2 linked regions of the Kluyveromyces lactis genome follow. The protein of the gene in region 2 purifies or fractionates together with the protein of the main gene of each other region. This does not show direct contact. Links are inferred from orthologs where the notes say so. Each region holds a gene or a part of one and is shown on either strand. Other genes may lie near its edges. The genes, in order: SVP26 and KTR3.

Region 1 (2,999 bases), on a different chromosome or scaffold from region 2:
TGTCCTAGTAAAGATTCATACCGTTTCAGCAAGTGATCTAAACTTGTGGTATCAACCTTGTACGACTTCAAACTCTCAGTAATCTTCTCAACCACTTGTTCCCCCACTATAGTTACTTTAGGGTCTGGTGCCTTTTTCATCGACAGCAGCGATGCGTTCCACACATTATTCAAATGATTCAAGAACTGTGAAAGCCGCATTATCGATTGTATATCTTGTGTAATCGCATCGTATAACGAATTAACACTCACGGTGCTTACGGGGCTCCAAAAAGTGTACCTTAAATCCATTACTTTGGTGTGTGGGATGCCTACCACTTACAGAGAGGAATGTTGTTCGTGTTTCGTAAATAGTATCCAATGTATCTTAAATAAGCAAGTCATCGACTTTTTTCAGCGAATACTCTTGAAAGATTTCAATAGATTGACAACACATCAGGGCATTGCCATGCATCTACTATGAATGCAAGTATGTACGGTTTATTACACGTGTATATATATTATCAAAGCAACAACCCTTCATCTTTCTTGCTATCCTTCAATCCAAATAGTTTGCCTATGGAATAGAAGTATTCTCTAATGTAATCGATGACGATCTTGGCTAAACCCTTAGCTCTTCTTCTCACACCTCTAGAACTCTCGGCACCATCGCCATCCTCGTTCTTTTTCCTTTCAATGTGTGTAGGTAGCACATTTTCTCCAGCGGATAACGACACGAACAATGCAAATGGAATAAACCATACACAAATTCCAAAGAATGATGCCACTTCCGCGAAAGACGCACGTCTTCTTGGCACATAGTTAGGGTCAAACCTGAATTGAGGTGGGATATCAACATCATTGAAGTATTTAAACCACAAGTAATGATTTATAAGAACTAGTACGCAACTCAACATTAACGTAGGGTTCGTCAACGAGATATATGGGAAATGTTTCATATTCTGTAGATATACCACGTAGGTAAAGATAGAAAAAGCCGTTAGCAGCCATGGGAATCCATCGAATAATAGAAGTAGCACGTAAATTCCGATTATAGTGTATATTGCTCGATATAGCAACCTTCTTGTGGGTTCAGTGTATTCTTCCACTAACTCACTGAGATAATACAATCCTGATGCTGTGGATAACGTCAGGAAAATAAACCCCAGGACGGTACCCGCATAGGATAAAAGTTGAATGATCATTTTCAGATTTGAACCAGCGGCTTAATTGACCTTCTATGGGACCACTATACAGATATATAGACCTGTAATTTCCCCAAATGTGTCGTATCCTACATGTTTAGTACCGTTGCTCAAATTGAATCTTGGTTTTTTGTTAGTAGAAAGTTGAGAAAAGACGTCTTACCCGGATACAGCGATCATGTGTTAGTCTTAGAATAAAGAGAGGAGTGGCACAGTTCTAAGCTAAGTGGCTGGCCTGAAGGAGTGGTTAGTGGGGTCACAGTATCCAATGGGCAGGTAATGTGTTGTTTAGCGTAGTGAATACTCAAAAAATTGAGTGCGTTTCTTGTACAGTGAGGAATTATAGTTATAATTGATTAAATTATAGTAATAAAAAAGATAAATGCCACCTGCCAGAATTGAACTAGCGACCTTTGCATTACAAGTGCAACGCTCTACCACTAAGCTAAGGAGGCATCTTTACAGGCGGTTAAAATGTAAGTGCTCCATATATCATGGCATCATTAGACCACACATGCTCACTAACCATATACTGCTCTTTGCTGCTTTCTCTGCTTTTACCACCACAATGGCAAACTTACATCAATACATTCATTAATCAGATACACACTTTTTTATTATATCTTTATATACCACCGTACCACCCCTCAGACGATACTATCCACCCAAGAAATATCGACATTATTCTCATCCAAGATCTCTTGGTATTCGTTACTGGCGCCAAATAGTTCTCTGGTCAATTTATCCATGTTGGGTACTCTACCGTTGGACAAACTGATATCCAAGATCGTATTGATGATGCTTGAAAAAATTTCAGCGCATTTGGCTGCAAATACCCATTTGGCACCAAAGTGTCGAAGCACTTCAATACATTGGTGTATTTCGATCTTGGATTCAATGATATCGATGGACCATTGGCATAAGCAATAGAGCATAGTGTTGCATATAGTGAGTACACGGAACAAAGTGATCCAATTTAACGGTAATAACTTTTTCTGGTATAAGTTATAGGTGTATTTCAAGGATTTGAGACATGCATCCCCCAGAATAGTTAGAGAATCCATCGCGGGTTTTGGTATCAAAGCACTTGGTCTATAAATCATGATCTGTAGTTGGTAATACCTCATGGAGAGCCATGTATCTGAATGGTGGAACGTTATATTGTTTGTTTCTTGTTTGGCGCTGTGAATCTTAAAAGTCTCTAATTTGTACAACTCATCCAATTCCTGGCGTAACTTATCTATCACATTTTTCTTTTCTTCTGCATTAAGCTTTCTTCTTGCAGCTCCGACGCTATGCACTTTCCTGTAAATGCGCCCTCCGATTCTTCTTAAACTTATCATCATGTTGGTGACTTCTATATCGTCCTTCTCTTCTTCAAATAAAGCTCTTGGTGGTGGAACGCTAATATCATCGTCGGATAGGCAGGATATTCTACCCAAGGATGTCGCAACTAGACGTTCGAACGAATAGAATGCCCAAAAAGCTCTGTATCTCATCTCTACATCAATAACTGACATCGTTTTCAATTTCTTAGGTGTTAATGCACGGTTCAAACCAAATCCAATGCATAGTCTCATTATCAATCCACTGATGGTCCAAGAGGAAACACCCTTCGGTTCGAAGAATGAATATATACCCAATAGTAATAAGCACTTGATTGTCTCAAGGTTCTGTAAATGCATCACGGGACAGAAGTTTTTCATGGCCAAGTATGCAAAATGTTCACTCAACCCTTCTTCCTCCGATGTTAACATTCCTGCTCTTTGTAAAGTGGTACATCCAATAGCCATGATCATGTGCAACTGGAACACAA
Region 2 (3,212 bases):
AAGATGCTGCTCTTCGAGGAATGTTCAGGTCGGTAATGCAGCGTACTTATTAGCCTAAGGAAAGGAATTAAAAGGATGGAAAGGATGGAAGGAAAATACAAATCAAACAAAGTGAATAAATAAAAAAAAAGATAAAACTATCCCCGAACGGATGTTTTAAAATCTAGGTCTTCGTTCCTTGCTGCGAAATATGTTTTCAACACACTTTTACAATAAACCTATTGGGTCTTCGGCGCCTTAGCTCTGGGTCTCTTCCACAAACTTTACTTTCGAGACAATACTTATGTTGTCTGTGTAAGGTGTTTCAAGCAAACCTTCTTTTCAGTCTATCTATATTTAAATTCCCGTCATTCGCGGATTAACTAACTATGCGCGAGTAAGAAAGCAAAGAAGAGATTAGTCACATGATTGTGAGTTTGAAGGAAGACCTGTCGTAGGTGATAGGAATTGCGAGGAGCGCAGTAGTGAAACGGCTTTGTAGTCGATTCTGACTATGCCTACACTAGATAAGTGGTTAAACGATTTGCATGTTTTTCGAGGGTTCATCTGGTGATGACGACATAATGAAACTGGTTCGGACCTAATAAACGTAAGGTACAGAAAGCATAGTTCAAGTAGATATTTGTACATATACATACATACGCGGATTTTGGACAACTAACCTCTGCTAACTCTTTTTTATGTTGTGTATGTGCATGCCTATTGCATAGAATTGAAGATGGGAGACGTTTCTATATATGTATCAAATGTTGCCCTCTAAAATCAACTTTTGTTTTTAGGTTAGTATATAATGTGTCAGGAGAATGTTTAGTCTTCAGGTTGTTTTTTAGTACAATTGAATTACCTGACCTCCTTTGGTAGTTTCAAACCACGGGCACCGAAGTATTTTCTTGTGCAGAAATAACTGTCACCCCAAGTTTGGTCATCGCCTGGGTCACATGTACATCTGTTTTGTAATCTGATAGCTTCTTCCACAGGACATGAAGTGAATCCTGGATGGTAGTATCCTATGCCGTCGAAGAAATGGAATTCTTCTGGTTCTAAGAAAAGTGCAGCGGCAATGGAATGAATCGGAGCATCACCCCATCTCTCGTAGAAGAACCCACCGGAACGGTCCAAGTAGTCGAAGTACTCACGGTAGGCAGGGGATCTCCATAATTCTAGCGATGCGATTTCGAAGTTAGACCAGAAGTGACACATGTTATAAGTCTTACCACCATCGTTGGAGATAAACTTCATCAAATTATTTTCCTTGACGTGTTGTGGGTATTCCTTCATGAAATTTTTGGTGGTTTCCCATAAAGTAGGAATCGTTTTTTCGTATTCGCTAACGGATAAGATGAACCCGTACTTCTTGTTGTTTTGCTTCATTAACTTAAAAACATCGTAGTGAATATCACAGAACAACTTGATATCTGGTTCCACACGCCAATACCATTCATACTCGTCAAGTAACTCGTGTCTCCAGAAGAATCCGGATTCGTATCTACACATATGTCTGTAAGAGACGGAGTCACCGTAAATGATACCGTCTTCTTTCATCTGTTTTCTGACTTCTGCCGCCTTATCCTGGTCAATCCAGTCTGGGAAGGACCAGTGTTCCTTTGGAATCACACCAAATTTAGCGGTACCACTGACCATTGCTGTCATAACACTTTTGAATTCCTCGTTGAACGGTTCATCGTTCAAAAAGACCCAATCGTAATGATAGTTCTTGTTGAATCTATCTTCAACATCCCTCACAGATGTAACCAAATGCCATAAATCTTTGTTTCTTGCTAAGGTGACCATACAGGCCTTTTCTCTAACACCATCATCTTCTGGGTAAAAAACGTTCTGAACCTTATCAGTATGAGGCTTCAGGAACTTATCTTTTGCACCACCAGGACTCGACACTGCTGGTTCGACAGTCTTTGGTGGAAGCACTGGCGTTTCGCTGCTACCATTACCAGAACGTGTAATGAACACGAAACATAAAACCGTGATGAATGCAATGAACAGCAATCTAATATGACGCTCATATTTCTTCACAAGAAATGCCGATTTTGGCATGAGCTTTTTCTTCGGCTGCATCTTTTACTGAATTCGATTAACCTTTGATCCGTGCTTACCTTTCTTTGATTCAGTGACAGGTACAAGACAATGTGAATCGGAATATCTTAAATCAAATCAAATCAAAACTTGGAATAAATATGAATGGAAACAAAGTTTTTAAAAGATGATATCCACGTATATCTCAACGTCTTGAATAACTATATTCTAACAACCCAGAATAAAGTAGCAATGAAACCGCTTAAGGGACTTCAGGATGTAAATAGACACTTGAAACACGTTAAATTGTATGACACACATCCTTAGAACAGGTGTGGATTAGGTGTTATTTACATACTTCTGTAAACTTTTTTTTCATCGGTGAAAAATCAAGAAGAGCGACACCTAGAAGGAAAAAGAGCGTCGAAAGTGTGGAGAAAAGCTGGAATGAAGATAGATTCTTACAGTGAAACTACTATGTTTTATTTCGAGCTTCTAATGGACATTCCGAATCCGGTCCCAATTCACTGTTTAGCTCCTGTTTTTATTTTTTAAAAGTACACCTCTGTATATGCGAATTATAAATTAAAAGAGTTCACGGCTCGCATTAATGTGTCAAAATGACGTTTCATCGGATTTACTGAGAAATTTGGCCCACTTATCCAAAGACTGGTGATAACCTAGCACTAAAGGCTCGATGTGGGACCCACACGGAAAAATTTCCGCAATCAAGTTTTCATTGGGACTGATGTGGTTGATGAACAGTTCGATTTGATTCTTGAACATTTCTAGATCACCATATGTGATGAACAATTTAGTGTCGCTGAGAATTTCAGTCCAAGTCTCCCTTGGAATCGATGTGAAATTCAAATACTTTAGGTATTGACTGGGATCAACTACGTTTTGCATGTAAGAATTTTGGAAAACCGTTAAAACTTTCATCGATAGCATATCTACGTTGTAGCCGTTTAACCTTTCAACGTCTACAGAGTCTCGGTCTAAGACGTTGCACCATGGAGATATTGCAATGGCGCGCTTTGGAATTGTCATTTTATTTTCGTGACATTTCAACAAGATGTTTAAGATCAAATTTCCTCCGCACGAATCGCCAATCAGATTTATTTCCGTAAACGTCTCTGTAAGCTCAAGGTACTCTTTCCACACATAGTCAATCGTCTCAG

What was found.
Region 1: the proteins of KTR3 (region 2) and SVP26 purify together in Saccharomyces cerevisiae (affinity purification with western blotting; 5 studies listed by BioGRID). This does not show direct contact. The link is inferred for Kluyveromyces lactis from reciprocal best matches to the Saccharomyces cerevisiae genes KTR3 and SVP26.

Annotation. Positions count from the first base shown.
Region 1 is NC_006037.1:809,151-812,149, reverse strand, and holds SVP26 (Svp26p), read right to left. Parts: upstream 1,184-2,999; coding exon 503-1,183; downstream 1-502. Other genes in the region: RGD3 (Rgd3p), read right to left, coding at 1-290; STB5 (Stb5p), read right to left, coding at 1,831-2,999. UniProt on the Saccharomyces cerevisiae protein: Plays a role in retention of a subset of membrane proteins in the early Golgi compartments. Facilitates endoplasmic reticulum to Golgi transport of mannosyltransferases MNN2 and MNN5.
Region 2 is NC_006041.1:2,047,073-2,050,284, forward strand, and holds KTR3 (mannosyltransferase KTR3), read right to left. Parts: upstream 2,074-3,212; coding exon 841-2,073; downstream 1-840. Other genes in the region: SAY1 (steryl deacetylase), read right to left, coding at 2,647-3,212. UniProt on the Saccharomyces cerevisiae protein: Possible glycosyltransferase that transfers an alpha-D-mannosyl residue from GDP-mannose into lipid-linked oligosaccharide, forming an alpha-(1->2)-D-mannosyl-D-mannose linkage.